Arabidopsis thaliana: one gene and its partners. The protein of the gene in region 4 interacts with the protein of the main gene of each other region in a pairwise test. Each region holds a gene or a part of one and is shown on either strand. Other genes may lie near its edges.

Region 1 (6,170 bases), 380 kb from region 4:
CTACACAAAAGAAATCAACATATTCACCTGAGTGGACGAAAACGCACAGTGACAGTGACATTTTCTTTGGACTGCAAAGGCTTAGGTGGTAACTGAGGCTTGCTTCGAACCGATGAAGAAGTAGGGGAGCTATGGCTATCTACAGACGCCTCTTGATAAAGTTTTGAAGACGAGGTTGTTGAAGATGCAGAGGACTCAACAGTCTTTAACTTGCTAAATCCACCATTTCTAGTCTTTGATACTTGTTTAGATCCCATCACAAAACCAAATTCAAACTTCGAGTGACTGAAAAAATGAAGAAAGTACAAAACTTTATCAAGTACAGACTGAAACCAAGCTAACGGAATTATGCTCGACTGTGTAATGAGCTAAAGATTCCTTTTTTTTTGTCAAACTGAGCTAAAGATTCCAAATTGTCATAGAGCAACTTGCAAATTGACAGGAAAGCAATGAAATTGGGAGTTTACAAAGCTCAATCGGTAAGCGAGTGAGAGAATCACAATGAGAGGAATAAGAGAATTACGGAAATGCCACGAGCTTCGAACACTTGGGTTAGGTCGAAAATTGCAATAAAAGAGAAGAAGAGAGGCAAGTGGGTACTAACTCAATGTAGCATCACCGCCGCTAAAAGCCGAATCGCATGCAAAGGATTATGATGATGCAAGAGAGAGTGAGTGATTACGTAGAAGAAGAAGAAGAAGAGGAACTTAAAGAAGAGAAAAGCATAATCATCATTAAAAGAGTAATTAGTTAGATGATTGCGATTGTTGTGTAAAAGAGTGTTTACTTTTTAATAATAATCTCTCGCTTGCCTTTGAAGTTTGAAGTGATAATACCCGAGTTTCAATTGTTTATTCGTTCTTCTCTTAAACTGTAATCACCAAAACATCATTAAGAGATAAAGATAAGAGAAGAATCGTATACGTACACATGTACAATTGTACGTATTTGCCTTCACGGATTTTTCTATGTCATAAATAGCTATAAACTTCTAAACTTTTGTTGTTGAATCAATTATGATTAGATAAGGAAGTAAATTGGTGTGAAAAAGATAAAGATATGGAAATGATAGTAAAGTAGTGTATATATATAAATGGTGTGCAATCTGTAACAAACAGAATATAGAGAAATTAATTAGTGAAAAAAGTAGAAAGTGATTGTTACAGGGAATATTTTTCCACATACGTAAAAATAGGTCTAATATTTTTACTTTTTAATTCCGATCTTGTACTTTTCTTTTTACAATTGATTAAAGTGGAAATAAGCTTCCTTTATTTTCATCTTCATTGATGAAAATAATGAGTAGAGAAACATTTTACTACCTAAAATGAGTAGAGAAATCATTCCTCTATTCAGAGAACAAATGTCTAAAATGAACTGTTTTTATTATTTTGCTCAATAAATACATAAATTTGGTAGATAAAACCAAATAATCTTTTTTAAATGCTAGTTAATTTTTTAAAAAAGTATACATTTTTATTGGTACCTTTTATTGTGAATTAAATATTATGAGGTTTTTTCATATTTATATATTTCTTTATTAATTTTAAAATGGAAAATTCTCAAAATTCCATTAAACAAAAAAATTCTACGTAACATATCAATTAACTTGTGAACTTTTTTTTAATTCAAACATTATTTTTCTCCGTTGTTTCAAATAATATATTTGAAATAAAACTTATAACAAAAAAAATGAGAAGATATTTTGCATAATGTTTTTTTATTCCAATGTTTTTGGATTTCAACATATGTATTCAATTGCCCGCCGAGGAAAAATAATTACATAGCTCTAAAGTCCAAAAGAAGCCCAATCTTTTTTTATTCGTTCACTCACTACTCTCTTCACTCGCCCAAACTCTGCAAAACCTCTTTCGATTTCAAAAATCAAATTCACCAAAAAAACTTCGAAGAACAAAAAAAATCCAAAAAAAGGTGAAATCGAAGAAGAAGAAAAAAAAGGCAAAAGCTTGAATTGATTATGGAAGACGACGATCAGCAGAAGGCTGCAGATCTAGTACAAGAGCTTGTTCTTCGTCTCGTCTCACAAAACCCTCAAACCCCTAATCTCGATCCCAATTCTCCCGCCTTCCTCAAAACCCTTCGTTACGCTTTTCGTATCCTCTCTAGTCGTCTTACTCCTTCCGTCCTCCCTGACGCCACCGCTATCGCTGAGTCTCTCAAACGCCGTCTCGCTACTCAGGGTAAGTCCTCCGACGCACTCGCTTTTGCCGATCTCTACACTAAGTTCGCTTCCAAAACTGGACCTGGCAGTGTCAATAACAAATGGGCTCTTGTTTATTTGCTTAAAATTGTTTCTGACGATCGTAAATCGGCTATAAATGGTCTTGATTCCTCGGTTTTGTTACCTAATTTGGGGATTGGTGATACTGGTAATGGGGTTTTGAGCCGTGGAGAGGCTAAGAAGAAGGATTGGAGTAATGGGGTTTTGTTGGTTAGTAAAGATCCTGAGAATTTGAGGGATATTGCGTTTAGAGAGTATGCCATTTTGGTTAAGGAAGAGAATGAAGTGACGGAGGAGGTTCTAGTGAGGGATGTTTTGTATGCTAGCCAAGGAATTGATGGGAAATATGTCAAATTTAACAGTGAAATCGACGGTTATGCCGTGCAGGAGTCTGTTAAGGTGCCTCGAGCTACGAGGATTATGGTTCGTATGCTCTCTGAGCTTGGTTGGTTGTTTAGAAAGGTTAAGACTTTTATAACTGAGAGTATGGATCGGTTTCCAGCTGAGGATGTGGGAACTGTTGGGCAAGCGTTTTGTGCGGCGTTGCAAGATGAGCTTTCTGATTATTATAAGTTGTTAGCTGTGCTAGAAGCGCAGGCCATGAATCCTATTCCTTTGGTTTCTGAATCAGCAAGCTCAAACAATTACCTTTCTTTGAGGAGGTTGTCGGTATGGTTTGCGGAGCCTATGGTGAAAATGAGACTGATGGCTGTTTTGGTTGACAAGTGTAAGGTTTTGAGAGGTGGGGCGATGGCTGGGGCTATCCATTTGCACGCACAGCATGGTGATCCGCTTGTTCATGATTTTATGATGAGTTTGCTTCGATGTGTGTGTTCTCCGCTATTTGAAATGGTGAGAAGTTGGGTTCTAGAAGGGGAGTTGGAAGATACTTTTGGTGAATTCTTTGTCGTAGGTCAGCCGGTTAAAGTCGATTTGCTTTGGAGAGAAGGCTATAAGCTCCACCCAGCAATGCTTCCATCTTTTATTTCACCAAGTCTAGCTCAGAGAATTCTGAGAACTGGGAAATCTATAAACTTTCTTCGTGTTTGCTGTGATGACCACGGGTGGGCTGATGCAGCTTCAGAAGCAGCAGCTGCCTCTGGGACAACAACTAGGCGAGGAGGTCTCGGGTATGGTGAAACAGATGCACTTGAACATCTTGTAACCGAGGCAGCAAAGAGAATCGACAAGCATCTGTTGGATGTTCTATATAAGAGATATAAATTTAAGGAGCATTGTCTTGCGATTAAGCGTTATTTACTACTTGGTCAAGGTGATTTTGTCCAGTACTTGATGGATATTGTAGGACCCAAGCTTTCTGAGCCAGCCAATAATATTAGTTCATTTGAGCTAGCTGGGTTTCTTGAGGCTGCAATACGAGCATCAAATGCACAGTATGATGACCGTGACATGCTAGACAGATTGAGAGTGAAGATGATGCCTCATGGCAGTGGAGACAGAGGCTGGGATGTATTCTCATTGGAATACGAGGCAAGGGTTCCATTAGATACCGTGTTTACTGAGTCTGTTTTGTCTAAATACCTGAGAGTGTTCAATTTTCTCTGGAAGTTGAAACGGGTAGAGCATGCTCTTATCGGAATTTGGAAGACCATGAAACCAAATTGCATCACTTCGAACTCATTTGTTAAGCTTCAAAGTTCGGTGAAGTTGCAATTACTCTCAGCCCTGAGGCGGTGCCAGGTCCTTTGGAATGAAATGAACCATTTTGTTACTAACTTTCAGTATTACATCATGTTTGAGGTATTGGAGGTATCATGGTCTAATTTCTCAAAAGAGATGGAAGCTGCTAAAGACCTCGATGATCTCTTGGCAGCGCATGAGAAGTACCTCAACGCCATTGTTGGAAAATCTCTTCTGGGTGAACAGTCACAGACCATCCGCGAATCACTTTTCGTCCTGTTTGAGCTTATATTACGGTTCAGGAGTCATGCAGATCGTTTGTATGAAGGAATTCACGAGTTGCAAATAAGGTGTGTTTTGTCTTTTATATTCAAACAAAAGTAGACCTTAAACTATTGCTCAAACATTTTCCTCTGATTTTAGGGTCACAATTTGATCTCTAATATCACCGATTTCCTGCAGATCTAAAGAATCAGGACGAGAAAAAAACAAATCGCAAGAGCCCGGTTCATGGATCAGTGAGGGTAGGAAGGGCTTAACACAGCGTGCTGGAGAATTTCTACAAAGCATGAGTCAAGATATGGACAGTATTGCAAAGGAATACACATCGTCACTTGATGGATTCCTATCTCTCTTGCCTCTGCAACAATCTGTAGATCTCAAGTTTCTCTTTTTCCGGCTTGACTTCACTGAGTTCTACAGCCGATTGCATTCCAAAGGATAAGAAAGTTGAAAGAGTATCAGGTTTAGTTGAAAAGCATATTGCACAATCGCAAGAGAAGAAGACATTATCTACGTCTTTCACTAACCGCTGACTGCAGCATGGGCTCTCCTGAACCAGGGATGCAGAGGTTCTTTTCTTAAAATCTAGGTGCGTGGGAGAATCTGTTTCTTATTTAGAGACTGCCTCATAGATTTTCTGTCTTTTGCATAGATTGTTTTTTCAATGGCTTGTTTCAAAGTTTAGGATTGGGAAACAGATTCTTTGTGTTGGTAAATTGGGGAAGGTTTGTGTTTGAGTTTGTGCTATAAGTCTGATGATCTCCAGCTTTAGTTTTTTTTCTTCTTCTGTGGTTCACTGATTTGTATGATTTGTTTTATGACTTGGTTGATATAAGAAGGAATCAGTTGCTTCTTCATAATGTGTATCTCCATAGTGTAAAAGGCTCCAAACTCTGAATTTTTCACTATCTAGAAGCTTCTGTAGCCACGGCCTGAGATTGAGCACAAGCATTAGCTCACAGTGATTTTAATCCGCAAGCCTTTCTCTTGCAATTAAGAAGAACCTTTGTGATACTCTTCCTCTCATCCACATTGATCTATCTCTGTGTGAATGAAGCATATGAACAACAAAAAACAAGTAGCTTTTGGCAAGAGTTACAGTCTCAAAATCTAAAGCAATCGTGTCCAATTTAAAAGAAAAAACAATTCACGGTTGTCGATTAATTTGCAAGTGCAGGCCAAACTGGAGGTTAACATATAAGGAAAAAAAAAAGGTGAAAAAATTCGTCGCCTGAGAGATTCGAACTCTCGCGGGGAAACCCCATTTACTTAGCAGGCAAACGCCTTAACCACTCGGCCAAAGCGACGATGATGCTCAATTAATGAATTGATTAATTTAATCGTTAATTGAAATTATTAGTATAAAATAGAAATCAAAATGTGAAATTTCTTCCAAAACATTAGCTTTTCATTCACTCGTAGAACTTGTAATAGAGTAGCTCATTTACTTGCCAAACATGGTTGTCTTCAATGTAACTACTACTCTGATTATGCTTGTCCTCCTAATTGAATGGTTGAACAATTGTACCTTGACTTTAGCCATTCTTAATTAACAAAGCTCAATCTCGACGAAAAGAAAAAAAAATGTGAAATTTCTTGATTATCAAAAAAAGGAGTTTTTAAGTTTGAAATTGTATAAAGAAAGAAAATAAGAAAACTGACTGTACATATTAATTTTTTTTAAAAGAAAAAAAAAAGGTAGGAAATGAAAAAAAAGAGAGAACTAGACAAATTTGTTGATCAATTCTCTAACTTCTTCGATGACAAGCCATCCTTTGTGACCTCCAATCACCTCCTCTTTCATCTCATCTTCCTTCCATAACTGCATTCACCACTCATTTTTCTCATTATTATGTTAATTTACTTTTTCACTATTACTTTATTGTCAAATGCGTATCAAGAAACTCAAAATACTGATGTTGTATTAGATGAAAGTAAGCATACCTGAATAGTAGGCATTTTCTGCATAACACACGAATATGGAAGTAATTGGTTCAGATTTGGC
Region 2 (4,339 bases), on a different chromosome or scaffold from region 4:
TTCTCTAAGAAAATATTATACATCGATTTGTTTGTTTGAATTTTGAGATATAAAACTGGTGATTGATTAATTATGTGAAGTCATACGTTATACTTTTATTTTCTCTCTTTTAATCAATATTTCTTAGTTAATGTTGCTTCTTTTACACTTGGAGTTTCGTCTTTATTTTGATTTATAAAACTGTTAATCAAATACCTAATTAAACCATTCAAAGATGTTATTAAAATAATTAATATCACAGTTTTACATTTCATTCCATATAAATAAGCAGGAATCTTATTGTTGTTCATCAATCAAAAACAAACAGAGCATTAAGCATATATTTGGCTATACTAAGGCTTTTTTATTTCTCAGTTTCTCATTATGCCTATCAAAAATGTGTTTTCACTCTTAGTGGTTCTATGCATCATAGTTTCTGTAAATGCTCAGTTACCTCAGTTTCCGGCTCCGTTTCTTTTTCCATTTTCGTTTCAACCGATTCCTGGAATGCCAGGATTACCTGATATAACGAAATGTTGGTCATCCGTGATGGATATTCCTGAATGCATTGCAGAGATTTCTCAATCCATTTTTATTGGCAAATTCAGTAATTTAGGTTCTGCTTGTTGCAAAGCATTTTTGGACGCTGAAGCCAACTGCATACCAAAAATTCCACTTATTCCGCTTTTCCCTCCGATGCTAAAAGAACAATGTTCAAGAATTGCCGGTGTAACTCCTCCTACACCGAAATAGAGTTTTAAATTATTATTTTTTAAATAGATAATTTTTTTTCCAATTTATTTCTTACAATTTTAGCTTACGCTACATGTTATACTCCAAAAAAATATCATATAAAGTAAAAACATTTGAGAAGTTGTATTTGGGTTCAATATTTACTCATTCTTCAATTCTAATGAATAACAGCTTGAAACATCGATTCTATAATTAACTTTGTCTTACAATGTTTCAAAACTTGGAATTATATTAGATAATTCCCTTCTAAATAGACAGTTGTGAGAATTAAATAATTTTTTACGAGATTTAAATTTTACATAGTAATCTGTATTTTCTAAATACAAATTTTAATCTTACACATTCTATAGATTCTATATAACATGCTTTTATTGATTACATATAATAAGGTATTTCTCAGAGTACAACACAAAGATAAGACAAAGACGACTGACGACATACAACATCAAGAAAAAGACGGACGCAACGGAGCCTCTAGATGCATATTGTTGTAAACAAATTGAACGATATAATTGAGGGAAAAAAATAAACTTAAGAAAATAAAAGAATAAACATATTTAAGTTATTAGAAAATATTAAAACACATATTAATATTTTTCAAAACAAAATAAAGAACTTATACTTCTGTTTTGAATATATCAATTTTAATAGAATTAGTTCATTAGTTCAATAGTTTAGTATATTAAATAAAAAATTTGAATATAGAAACATTATTTTTGACTTTATGTATATATTTCTTTTTCAATAAGGTTAGAAAAAATTTCTATTTATGTTTTTAAATATAAAAAAATTTGATTTGACATGTGCGAATATCTTATTAATAAATTTGACACGTGAGTTAATAATTTTGAAAACTCATTTCTTATATAATGAAATAAGCATTTGTTCGAGAAAAAAATATTAAAAACAAACATCTTCTATATGATTTATCTCAATTATAAAAAATCTGTTTTTTTCAGATGTTAAAAAAGAAAAACAATTGTGTCAGAGTTATATTATTTTCTTTTCATTAGTATAATTCATTAAAAAAAATTAACACTATCAATCTTAGTGTCGGAGTTATATTTCAAACATATTTTTGTTTAGAATATTAATATGATTATTGAAAGACAATAAACTTTTTTTCTTTTGACATAACACAATTTACATTTATTGAAAGACCTCCAAGTCCTTTCCCTTCGTCTCCCACTTCTCACTTCACACTGTGAGTCTGCGACTATCTCCAAGACCAAGCTTCATACTTTATTTTTGCAAATTCCGTTTCTAAACGTAAGTTTTCTTATCTTCGTTTCTATCAGATTACTCCTTAATTCTTAGTCTCGAAATAAAAAATTTGAAATTTATTCGATGTTATGCAAATTGCCGCCGACATAAAAACCCTAATTTCAATCTCATTTTTCATCTGAATTACATTTCTTTTGAATTGAATGTTTCTGGGTTGTGTTTTGGTTTTGGTATTAACTGATCTATTAGACTAATCCTTGTTCACCTATCAGATAATATTATTGGGCTCTGAAACAAATTTGACTCACTTTTGTGTGTGTGAGCATTGTATCTTCACTACAAAGCTCTAGCTTGAAATGTTGTTGTGTAATTTATAAGACTCTAGTTTCTAACTTCTTATGTCAAAATCACCTAAGAGTCTTTGACTTGGTTCTTGTTAGATCATAGTTCACTTACTTTTGTCTAATTTGGTTTGGTAGAAACTCTATAATTCACTAACTACCTTAGGACTTTAAAATTGTGGAGTTTAACAGGTGTGATCAGTATGGATGAGGAGGCATCTCGGACAGCAAGAGAGTCACTAGAGCTTGTGTTTCGCATGTCAAACATCTTGGACACGGGTTTGGACCGGCATACTTTGTCAGTTCTCATAGCTCTTTGTGATCTTGGTGTTAACCCTGAAGCTCTAGCTACTGTTGTGAAAGAGCTTCGTCGCGAGTCTATCCCCGATTCTGTCACAACCACACCATCTATACACTGATCAGGTATTGAGAATTTTCTCAGTCTAATGATGATTGACGAGTCTATGCCCAAGTCTACCTCTTTCTGTTGTTTTCAGATCTAACATATCGACCGGTCGAAATTTATGTTGCAGGTATGCAATGGATTATACAAGTATTGTGGTTGGTATGTGAATCTTGTTACTACTTTTTTTGTATCATTTAAACAAAATTTGTATGGATGAATTATAACTTCTTTTATTTGTATGAACCGTTATTTGAAAGCCAAAGTAGCAGAATGCAAAAAAAAGTATATAATTGTAATTTTATCTCTCAAAAGCTCATAGAAAATTCAGTGATCATGTGTCACTAAAGCAGAATGCAAAAGGAATTTGGGATCATCTGATTCACAACCCCTGGAAGGTAAAAACATTCTATGTATCCCCGAAGAGGGAAATCACACTCAATCAAAATCTCTGCACACCAAATCTCCGTTTTACATTCCTTAGTATAAGTCTTCCACCGAACTATCACTCTCCTTCCTCAGGCCAGGGTTTTGTCACCGAAATAAGATACTTAGAGGACGGTTCTTCAAGTCCTCTAATCGTGAACGTGCATATATCACCGCAGACTAGTTTCGAGTTTCAGAAACCCTCGCTGTCCACCATACGTTATTCTTTGACTCTAACAAGCAAACAGTAGGGCACAAACCAATAATTTTCTCGCGAGAAAATCTTCCAGTACATTTTGTTGGCTCCCAAGTCTGTGTCTTTGGGTCGTAAACTTCTCCATAATTCTCAGCAGTGTCATAATACTTACTGCTGATGCCTCCAAACACAGATCTTACCGTCGATAACATTAAAACATGCTTCTTCTCGAGGGACATGCATCTTGGGGAGTTGACGCAAATGATGAGTTTTACAACCAAGTAAATATCTGAACCAAGTGATACAACAGTCGAAGAACTAGGATGTTGGTAAGGAAAGTTAGGAAGTGAAGGGACTGGTATCAGTTTCTGGTTGGGAGAAAGGGAATGTACGAACCAGCCAGGTTTTTTATTTAAGTTTAAGCAAACATAGAGACACTTCTCCTTTTTTCCTATAAGGGATCTTGCGGCCTCGAGGTCAGGGGAAGCTAGGAGTGATCGGAAAGTCTTTGGAGACTAGAGATAGGGTTGGATAATGGCACACTTCTACAAAGTATTGGAAATGTGTTTTTCTTTAAGCCTAGAGACAAAAGGCCTGAGTTTTACTCTTTCACAATGGCTAATACATCCATAGATTTCTGTCTTTAATTGACTCTAATACTTGTATTTCTTCCGTGGCCTTTACGCCAAATCAATCTGTGGTAACATCGGTAGGAAGAAAATATTATAATATTCGTCTTCACCTGTTAATCTACTCGGTAAGTATACGGTATAGTTTCTGCGTAATGGTTAAACTTTTAGAAGACAAGTATTAAGCATATATAGACAAAGAACCAAAGTAATAAGCTAGTTATATACCCACACTCAATGGTTAGCTTAATGATTCACCAGAGACGCTTTACTCTTCAAACTCACTCATCTCACATTCATCATTACTCCACAACTGTACAGCTGAAGAATATCAGTCACACTGAACACTCTTTTTAACTCTATTGTTTGCCAAAATCATGCATGGTCA
Region 3 (4,057 bases), on a different chromosome or scaffold from region 4:
AGAGGTTCTTTCTAAAGAAGGTGACATTTCTTCAACTCAACTTCTTTTGTTTGGTTCTCAAGAAAATGTACAGTTTTGAATGAAAAGGAAGAGAATTTTGCAATGACAGAGTTAGCTGATCAGCTCATAATTTTTCATGTAAAGATTATAATTTTGCTTACTTTCTTAATCCAATTGGTATTTCAGAGCTGAAAAAAAGAATTCAAAGCTTTTTGGATGATGGAAATGAGGATGCTATACCTGATTTATTTGAGGCATTGATGATTAGGAAGTTATCAGGGAAGCACGATGATAGTGATGATGAAGTGATGGATGTGGTGCGTAAGTATCCAGTTAACGATGCACATAAGGTTGACGATATTGACTCTGATATTGAGAGTGATGGCCATGGTGATTCGTCTGATTCAGATATTGAGAGTGATGACTTGAGAGATGGTGATTCGTCTGATTCCGATGTAGAGTTTGATGGTTTCAATGATGTTGGCTTGTCTGATGTCAATATTAAGACTGATGCCCTGAAAGCTAATCGCTCGTCTTATTCTTACTCTGAAAGTGATTAACACATGGTAAGTTTTGGATTTCGCACCATACGGTACTCGCAAAGAGAACATTTTCTTCTGTATTTTACAGTCTCTTATTTTTTTGTCACATTTTGCATTTTCTACTTGTATAACTTGATTAAATGGATATACAAATTATTTAGTACTTTAGAGATTTTCTAACACTGTGCTTGTTAGAGACTATTTAATCTTTAAGCGTGTGATTGCTTGCTTAATCATGTGTCTTGGGCTTTGTTTATCCTATTCATTATGTGCTAAGTATGAAAACCTTGGTGGCTGATACCACATGGAGAATATGGATTCTAGAAAAGTGTCTGAGTAAACTTAATATATACTGCAGCTTATCTTCTTTTATTCTTTCATGGCCTGATATATGTTTAACATTGTGATCAATGAACTCTAATTGGTCTTGGTTTTGGGCCACAGACTTATGCACTACATTGAAGATTTTGAAAGGAAGCAACTGCCTAGTGAATGGAAACAGATCAGTTTTTGGTCCATGTTGGCTGTAAGTTCTGCCTTTTGAATATAATTAGAAATTTAAGTCATATTTTGTGCTTAGTACAATAGTAATGAAGTAAAATATATAATTATGAAGGTGTTCTCATTACTTTGTTTAAGTGTCAACAAATTCATATACCTTCACTGGGGGTAGCCGAAAGCTGACATCTATTTTGGTTACACGTGGTTTCATAACTTCTCCAAAATGGTGCCTAGGTGTTTTTATGCTTTGTCCGAGCCTTTTAGAAAAAAGTTAATCTCTTTTAGACATATCGAGATCTCCTGCAACCACAAACTCTCGTTTGAGTAACGTGACTCACTCAAAGACATTTTCTTCTATAAATAGAACGAGAGAAACCCACTTTAAACTCCAAACCAAATATCTTCTTCTTCTTTCTATAACTTAGTGAGACAATGAAGGGTTCTTGCACAAAACCAGTGTTTTTCACTTGTACAATCCTTCTCATTTTAATTGTTGCCCAAGAAAACAGAGTCGCTGCAGTAGATCCATGTAATCCTGCGCAGCTGAGTCCATGCTTGGAGACCATAATGAAAGGGTCTGAGCCATCGGATCTGTGTTGCAGCAAGGTGAAGGAGCAACAGCATTGTATCTGCCAGTACTTGAAGAACCCTAACTTCAAATCTTTCCTTAACTCCCCAAACGCCAAAATAATCGCCACTGATTGTCATTGTCCGTATCCGAAATGCTAGTCCCAGTATTTCGTTCTAGTTTTCGATGTTCTGTTTCTTGCTTTCAAGACCAAAAAAGGTGTTCTGTTCTGTTCGCTCATCATCGATGGTTTTTCTACTTCAAGTTTCTTACTTTTGAGTTTGGCTTTCCATTAATGTGTTTGTCGTCAAGGAATAAATCTTGATCATCACATATTCACATTGATATGTTTTTAAGAAATTTCGGATAATTCGACTAACATAAGCTACTTAAAAGTTAAAAGTTCCAATTTCAAGGATATCACTACAAAATAAGTCTCTAAATTTGGATGCAATTTTGTCAATTTTGGCCGAATTAATCATAACAAGGTCTTGAATCCCTTGATTCCGACAAAAAAGAATCCCTTGATTAAAACTAGTTCAGAGACTTCGATTGTATTAAAACCGGCGGATTTTATTTAACCGACCGATTTGATATGAACCAGTAAATATACTCTGAACCGGCCAAAGGTTTATTTTCTTAAAAAAAACAACCCTAGATTTCTAAATTCTAATTGTTGGCCCATTTTCGCCTCTTCTTCTTCGATCACGAGATCGAGAATCGTTTCTCTCAATTATCTCAAGCTCTAAGATCTCACTTCTTCTCTCTCAAACTCGACGCCGTTCGTTTTCTCCGTCGATTAATCGGTTCGTTTTGTTCCTTAACCTTTTTCCGATCTAATGTATCTCTTGATCCGTCGGCAAGTCTCCGATTTCCACTTTAAGGGTTTCCATTCTCTGTACATCCATGGAGATCCGTACAAGAATAGAGTAGATATTCATATGTAAATTGAATCGTTTCCGAAATTGATATTTTTTTGTTCTGGATGATGTTTGGTGGTTTCAGAGTATTATGAATCAGGAAGCAGCTGAAACAGCGAGAGAGTCACTGGAGCTGGTGTTTCGGATGTCGAACATCTTGGAGACAGGTCTTGATCGACATACTTTGTCTGTTCTTATAGCTCTTTGCGATATTGGTCTTAACCCTGAGGCTCTCGCTACTCTCGTCAAGGAGCTTCGTAGGGATTCTGCTACAACAACAACTACGGTTGATTAAGAAGATGCCTAATCAAATAGTATCATTCATGCTTGTTTTCTAAGTTTCAATTTCATTATGCTATTGATGTGTAAATTAGGGTTGGTAAGGTAATTGAATAGAGAGTTTCAGAGACAAATTGGTAATAAGTATTTGAGTCATCCCCACTCAATCCTTTTGAGAGGCTTTCTTTAAGTAAATCACAAAGTTACCCTCATATTCTTGATTTCTTTTTTTAGTCAATACTTTCATCAAGTACGTACATATACAGCGGAATCAATTTTTCTAAAACGTAAAAACGTAAAAATTTGTTGAACGTGAATGGTAAAAACAACGTTTTCATACAACTGTGAAAACGTGAACAAGTGGTATACCATCCAACTAAAAATATAACTCTAAACTTCACACTTTTATGTACAATCATGATCAGCAGATCTAGAATACATGTTTTACCATCATGTACGTAGTAGTAGTTTAAAGTTTAAACCCTTATTTAGAAAGAGTCCAATCTCGGCCAAGGCACTATGGCGTGTCTTCCAATACTAACGTAGATGAGGATTTAGAAAGGGTTTATATGATTTTGAGACGAAGATCCGGTGAAACATATATTGAATTCCGCTGGAGTCGTTATATACCCTTCGTTTACTATCTCCAAATTGTTTGTAGATCTCTCTTGAACATATCCGTTTTGTTGATATGATTTATCGATTTCGATGTTTTGGTAGTGGCTCGCAGCATATTGTTGGTCCAAATCATCACCTATATAATCAAAATTACATTGTTGTAACATACTATATAATCAACGATGTTTCGCAATTATAGAAAAACTGAAATGGTGTTTATGTTGACACTATTTTAAAGTAATACCTTGTGTCAAAAGAGCAGCCTCGTTCGCTGTTCGTTCGCCCACTTCTAAAAAGTTCCCCTTTGAGTAAGCATCTCGAACTAAGTTCTTAACGTAGGGCTGCAACAAAACATTACCATAGATGAATTAAAAAAATAAATACAGTTTCTAACTAATAAACAATCATTGAGCTATCAATAATTGCTTAACTTCTTTAATAGAGAGAAAATGACCATTCAATACCTGGTTGAGGGATTCTTGACTAGAGAGAACATGACCATCGATAAGTGCTTTCATAACTTCGCATATCGGATTCAAAATCATGAAAAAATTCGGTCCTCTAGAAATGTATAACTTATTTCCCAAAATACACTCTCTAGCATGTTTCAATGTTACTTCCCACTTTCT
Region 4 (5,997 bases):
TGACGAAGCTCTCTAAGCAGCTGGTGTCTCTATGACTCTCTCCATGTCTCATACCCTCATTACTATTTTAAAACGCCCTTTTTGAGAATCTAACACCAATAATTGTTTTGTATTCATACATTAACAAAAGGATGTTTTGCAATAACTTAAAAAGAAATAAGGAAAAATGAGAAAGATGACTCACTCATTCATTCACTCACTGTCTTCCTTTCTTAGTGCAGCAAGAAGGGCATTTGTATTGCTTGATGCTCTCTGCTTTGGCTGGTGTTATCTTCACACACTTCCCATGGTACCAACGTTCACACACATCACAACATATCCAGAACTCGTCGTTTGTGTAGTTTCCTCCACAACTTCCACAGAGTGTGTCTCCATGCTCATCGTCTTCATCTTCATAGCTCTCTTCCATTAGTTTCGGCGTGCTCTTTGTCTGCCCTTCAATTGATCTCTGCAACAATTCAATACCAACCAAAACACAACTAATTTATTAATATCAAACCCTTCTCTGTCTTTGAGAAGAAAATACTGTTTTGGGATGGTAAAGATTAGTAAAGAGTTCATTATGATACCTTTACGCCGTTTCTGGATTTGCTTCCGAGATCCATGCTTGGTTTACCGTCTTTGATGGGTTTCCTACCCGTCACTACTTCAAAGAGAGTTGGGAGATCGTTGATCAGACTAAATAGACGTTTCCTGCTCATTGAATGGAACATACATAATAAGTTCCTAGACCCAGTAGCATAATCTCAGAAGACTATCAAATAAGCTCATATACCCGCACATATGTAACTTATGAGCTTCATTACCAGCAAAAACATAGACTCTTATAGAACGTAAAGGAAATAAAACTTGAAGGATAACTGGATAAGTAACCTAGTGAATACCACGATATCATCAGCTCCGATAGAACAGATATGTATTGAATGTAGTAGCCATTTCTATATCCAAACGATGCACAAGTTCAAAAAACAGAAGGATTAGTGAAAAATGGTATGCATTTAAAGAAACTTAACCTAAGAAGGAAAGAAGCTCATTGACAAGTAGAGTTAAAGTGACAGAAAGAATCAGGAAACAAAAACAAAATAGTGATGACACAAGCTCATGAATCATGATACAGTCCATTGTCCAAAGACATATTTTTTCTCATCATTACCACCACAATCTAGCTAGCACAGTAAAACTATCTTCGACAATTTATAAAAGTCACTGAAACAAGCAAGAACAAAAGGCAAACGTACCTCTCATTGCGATTAAGACGAGCGCCGAAGTAAGAAGAAACAGAGAGTAACCAACAATCACTGTGGACAGCAACTAAAGAGAGCCAATCTTTACGCTGCATACCATCTCTAGCGAAATTGATTCCAAGAGCTGGCTCAGGTAGCTCCGGAGGCACTTCCTCAGCTGGAAGATTCACTTCCCATGTCCCATTCGGGTGTCCGTACAAACACAGATTCTCCATTTCTAAGACCACCCAATAAACAAAAAAAGGAACAAAATTTATCAAAAAGGGTATCTTTTTCTGAAACTTATCCATGGAAAAAACAAACACAGATCCGAAAAATAACCATGGAAAGAGCTCGTTTACCCGGATCGCATAAAGAGTAGAACTTGTCAACATCTAGTAAAAGAGAGGCAAGAACAACAACATGTAAAATTAGAAAGCTTAACATTTACGAGAAAATAGGAGAAAATGAGGATAGCGTCGTCGTCTAACCTACGGAGAGAGCTCGAAGAAAACCGGAGCGACGACCGCTAAAATCCTTGAAGATCTCTTCGACGGTGCGAGGGTTAGAAGACTCAGCGGCCATAGATGTAGTGACGGAAGAAGCAAAAAGAAAGAAAATTACAAGTATTGTTAGAGAAGACCTAAGTAGATAGATCAGTGGTGTTAGAGATGGATTGAGGTCTGCATCAATGGTTTCCAAAATCCGATGCGCACGGACAAGAGAGATAGAGAGAGACCAGAGTTTAAGACTTTAAGAGTAGTAGTAGTAAAGTAACTTCTGTTTTTGGTCTCTATTTTAAAATGGGCCTGGCCCATGGCCCATCGAGTTGAATTCTGATAAAACGACGTTTTCTCTCTGTATCTCTCTGTAAATGAGTAAAGAAGAAGCTGAAAGTGTGGCTTTAATGAGTATAGTTTGATCATCCTCTTCAGGCGTAGTAGTCTCGAAACACTTAGGTAGGGTTTTACAGAGGAAGAAGATGCCGAGGGAGATAATTACGCTTCAGGTTGGACAATGTGGGAACCAGATCGGTATGGAGTTCTGGAAACAGCTTTGCCTTGAGCACGGCATCAGCAAAGATGGTATTCTCGAGGACTTCGCTACTCAGGTCCTCTTTCTTCGAATTCGTTTCTATGCATCGATTAATTGAATTCCATGGTTGCTGGTTTGTTGTTGTTGTTCATAGAATTGTGGATTTGATTGATGAACTACTTGTATGTATGTAGGGAGGTGATAGAAAAGATGTGTTTTTTTACCAAGCGGATGACCAACACTATATACCAAGAGCTCTCCTCATTGATTTGGAGCCTAGAGTTATCAATGGTATTCAGAATGGTGAATACCGGAATCTCTACAATCATGAAAATATCTTCCTTTCTGACCATGGCGGTGGTGCTGGTAATAACTGGGCCAGTGGATATCACCAAGGGAAAGGTGTTGAAGAGGAAATCATGGACATGATTGATCGTGAAGCTGATGGAAGTGACAGTCTGGAGGGTTTTGTTCTTTGCCACTCTATTGCTGGAGGCACTGGCTCAGGTATTTTACTTTTTATTGCCAATCCCTATCTTCGTTTAGCTTATGTTTATTCACTGAATGACTTTTTTTTATGTATTTTCACATGAAGGAATGGGATCTTATTTGTTGGAGACTTTGAATGATCGTTATAGCAAGAAGTTGGTTCAGACATACAGTGTATTTCCCAATCAGATGGAAACGAGTGACGTTGTTGTCCAGCCCTACAACTCACTGTTGACGCTGAAGCGGCTTACGTTAAATGCTGATTGTGTTGTTGTTCTTGACAACACTGCATTGAACAGAATTGCTGTGGAGCGTCTACATTTGACTAATCCTACTTTTGCTCAGACCAATTCTTTGGTGTCAACTGTGATGTCTGCTAGCACAACAACGTTGCGTTATCCTGGATACATGAATAATGACTTGGTTGGCTTGCTTGCATCTTTGATCCCAACTCCAAGGTGTCACTTCCTCATGACTGGATATACACCGTTGACTGTTGAGCGCCAGGTTAGATATCTCAATCAGTTTTATAACTAATATCATCAAACCATTTTTATGGGAAGCTGCTGTTATCTGGAACATGACTTCTGAATGTTATGATTGACATTTTCATTGATTTCCTACTCTCTTATGTGAATTGTTCTTGGCAGGCAAATGTTATTCGTAAAACTACTGTGCTGGATGTTATGAGGAGACTTCTACAGGTGAGCTGTTTGCTTTCTCCAGTCTTTTTTCGAAAATTGAATTAGATTTTCTTCTAACATGATTGTATTCGCAGACAAAAAATATCATGGTTTCGTCTTATGCTAGAAACAAAGAAGCTAGTCAGGCAAAGTACATATCAATATTGAATATAATTCAAGGAGAAGTCGATCCCACTCAGGTACTTTTATGTACTAATTTTTTTGTTCGATATATTGAGGATGAATCGGTAATTCTTTCTTGTTGATGTTATCTGCTCTGTTGTCTCACTACTTGATATTAGGTGCATGAGAGTTTGCAGAGGATACGAGAAAGAAAGCTTGTCAATTTCATAGACTGGGGACCAGCAAGCATACAGGTTCTAACCGAATTGCGTCGTCAAATTAATTATTGCTTTTGGATTTACCATGGACTTGCATCACAATTTTTTCCATATCTTACTCTCAACAGGTTGCTCTTTCCAAGAAGTCCCCGTATGTTCAAACTTCCCATAGGGTAATCTTATATCACTCTATATATATCTGTCATGCACTCATGCTGAGAGTTGGTACTCCTTACAGTTAATGTCTAAGGCTGCAGTTCCTGCTTTAGTAGATACATCGAAGACTCTTAAGTTTGGTGGTGTATTTGATATTTCAGGTCAGTGGTCTTATGTTAGCAAGCCACACTAGTATCAGGCACCTTTTCAGCAGATGTTTGAGCCAATATGACAAATTGAGGAAGAAGCAAGCTTTTCTTGACAATTACCGAAAGTTTCCAATGTTTGCTGTAAGTTGACTGCTCAAATATATCGGCTGATGTTTAGTGCAACCCACCCTATTATTAGCATTGACAGTTAATGTTGAAATCATGAGAATCTACATGTTGATATGGACAGGACAATGATCTTTCAGAGTTTGATGAATCAAGGGACATAATTGAGAGTTTGGTAGACGAATATAAGGCCTGTGAGTCTCCAGATTACATCAAATGGGGAATGGAGGTATATAAGCTAAGCTTTTGCCATCTATAGTCACACACTAAAGGAAGAACTTATAATGATTATCGAATATATGTGACTCTCTCAGGACCCTGGACAGCTTATGACTGGTGAAGGCAATGCTTCAGGAGTTGCGGATCCTAAGTTAGCGTTCTGAACAAAAAATAAAAACTCAAGAGTAAGTCATATGATGTTTCACTTTTAACTGAGATTTTCAGGTCATGATAGGTTTTCTTTGGTAGGATCAGTAGTAGTAACGATAAAGAGTGTTGGCATTGTAAACCTTGAATAGTATTATGATGTGGATGAGTTTCAATCTATGAGATGAATGTGTTTTTTTTGGGTACTTTCTAAGATTAAGAGCACCTAAAAGTTGCATAGCAGGAATCTTGAATTGTATTAGTAACATATATTCTTGGAATCCTATGCATATTGAAGTTACACCAATGTAACATCGTGGACCCCTCCTACCTTAAAGTTTGTAGCTGCGAGAAAACAGGTTGTTCTAATAGTGCAGCAACAAAAACAACCTCGTTTTAACCTTGAGATGCATGCTTATTAGGTGAGTGAGTGCTAAAATATAAAAGATTTTCTTTTGGGTCGGCAATACAGGAATTTATTCATTGATGGATTTTATCTAATAGGGTTTTTAAAAAATATTAAAGAAAAAAGAAGGTTTTATCGTTATCTAACATCTCTTATGAATTTATTATCCTACATAAGTTGTCAATAAGAAGCCTTGTTTCCTTTTTCTTTCTGTATTTCAATATAAGATAAATTTCTGAAACCTGGAACAACAACATCTGCGATTGTTTCTGGGTATTCATTCTTTTCACAAAGTGTAAAGCTTTAATTTTCGATTTCGCGGAGCTCAAAGTTTCAAACTTTTCCATGTTTCTTGTTTCTTCTAGCTCTGTTCTGTGTACGTCGAAGCAACTTCCCTAGCACTTTCTCAATTATTTTAAGTTCCAATTCTCGATGACTGAGCTTAGCTCTCCGAATCTTGACTCCGCCTCGCAGAAGCCAAGAATCTCCACCGAAAACCCTCCTCCTCCTCCTCCTCACATAAGCATTGGTGTCACCACCGGTGACCCTGCTACGTCTCCGGCGAGAACCGTCAACCAAATCAAGAAAATAACGGTACTGCCACTAGTTTTCCTGATATTCTACGAGGTCTCAGGCGGTCCGTTTGGGATTGAGGATAGTGTGAAAGCAGCAGGACCATTGTTAGCCATTGTTGGATTCATCGTCTTCCCTTTTATATGGAGTATCCCTGAAGCACTCATCACTGCTGAGATGGGAACAATGTTCCCGGAGAACGGTGGTTACGTCGTGTGGGTCACTTTAGCTATGGGACCTTATTGGGGGTTTCAACAAGGTTGGGTTAAATGGCTAAGTGGCGTTATAGACAACGCTCTTTATCCGATTCTCTTCCTTGACTATCTCAAATCAGGAATCCCGATACTCGGTAGTGGGATCCCTCGAGTCGCTGCGATTCTGGTGTTGACTGTAGCCTTGACTTACTTGAACTACAGGGGTTTAAGCATTGTTGGTGTAGCAGCTGTTCTT

Evidence for each region.
Region 1: the proteins of GCP2 (region 4) and SPC98 interact in a two-hybrid assay, tested with the Arabidopsis thaliana proteins (one study listed by BioGRID).
Region 2: the proteins of GCP2 (region 4) and GIP1 interact in a two-hybrid assay, tested with the Arabidopsis thaliana proteins (one study listed by BioGRID).
Region 3: the proteins of GCP2 (region 4) and GIP2 interact in a two-hybrid assay, tested with the Arabidopsis thaliana proteins (one study listed by BioGRID).

The regions. Positions count from the first base shown.
Region 1 is NC_003076.8:2,054,763-2,060,932, forward strand, and holds SPC98 (spindle pole body component 98), read left to right. Parts: upstream 1-1,765; 5' UTR 1,766-1,978; coding exon 1,979-4,233; intron 4,234-4,345; coding exon 4,346-4,607; 3' UTR 4,608-5,097; downstream 5,098-6,170. Other genes in the region: AT5G06670 (P-loop containing nucleoside triphosphate hydrolases superfamily protein), read right to left, coding at 28-257; WCRKC1 (WCRKC thioredoxin 1), read right to left, coding at 6,090-6,170. UniProt on the Arabidopsis thaliana protein: Gamma-tubulin complex is necessary for microtubule nucleation at the microtubule organizing centers (MTOCs). Required for the positioning of the gamma-tubulin-containing complex on pre-existing microtubules and for the proper organization of cortical arrays.
Region 2 is NC_003075.7:6,037,206-6,041,544, forward strand, and holds GIP1 (AtGCP3 interacting protein 1), read left to right. Parts: upstream 1-1,849; 5' UTR 1,850-2,001; exon of another isoform or gene 2,002-2,489; 5' UTR 2,490-2,500; coding exon 2,501-2,716; 3' UTR 2,717-2,720; intron 2,721-2,830; 3' UTR 2,831-3,021; downstream 3,022-4,339. Other genes in the region: CRP4 (ECA1 gametogenesis related family protein), read left to right, coding at 364-732. UniProt on the Arabidopsis thaliana protein: Required for gamma-tubulin complex recruitment to the microtubule organizing centers (MTOCs). During mitosis, modulates gamma-tubulin complex localization, spindle stability and chromosomal segregation. Necessary for gametophyte development and embryogenesis.
Region 3 is NC_003070.9:27,742,397-27,746,453, forward strand, and holds GIP2 (mitotic-spindle organizing 1B-like protein (DUF3743)), read left to right. Parts: upstream 1-2,252; 5' UTR 2,253-2,417; exon of another isoform or gene 2,418-2,616; 5' UTR 2,617-2,622; coding exon 2,623-2,826; 3' UTR 2,827-3,033; downstream 3,034-4,057. Other genes in the region: AT1G73770 (coiled-coil protein), read left to right, coding at 1-20, 187-560; AT1G73780 (Bifunctional inhibitor/lipid-transfer protein/seed storage 2S albumin superfamily protein), read left to right, coding at 1,476-1,772; SARD1 (Calmodulin binding protein-like protein), read right to left, coding at 3,365-3,564, 3,673-3,769, 3,893-4,057. UniProt on the Arabidopsis thaliana protein: Required for gamma-tubulin complex recruitment to the microtubule organizing centers (MTOCs). During mitosis, modulates gamma-tubulin complex localization, spindle stability and chromosomal segregation. Necessary for gametophyte development and embryogenesis.
Region 4 is NC_003076.8:1,677,135-1,683,131, forward strand, and holds GCP2 (gamma-tubulin complex protein 2), read left to right. Parts: upstream 1-2,095; 5' UTR 2,096-2,205; coding exon 2,206-2,334; intron 2,335-2,452; coding exon 2,453-2,765; intron 2,766-2,853; coding exon 2,854-3,254; intron 3,255-3,397; coding exon 3,398-3,451; intron 3,452-3,525; coding exon 3,526-3,630; intron 3,631-3,732; coding exon 3,733-3,807; intron 3,808-3,899; coding exon 3,900-3,944; intron 3,945-4,088; coding exon 4,089-4,217; intron 4,218-4,326; coding exon 4,327-4,431; intron 4,432-4,516; coding exon 4,517-4,585; 3' UTR 4,586-4,921; downstream 4,922-5,997. Other genes in the region: AL1 (alfin-like 1), read right to left, coding at 197-448, 570-693, 1,239-1,461, 1,586-1,618, 1,715-1,808; RMV1 (Amino acid permease family protein), read left to right, coding at 5,407-5,997. UniProt on the Arabidopsis thaliana protein: Tubulin is the major constituent of microtubules. The gamma chain is found at microtubule organizing centers (MTOC) such as the spindle poles, suggesting that it is involved in the minus-end nucleation of microtubule assembly.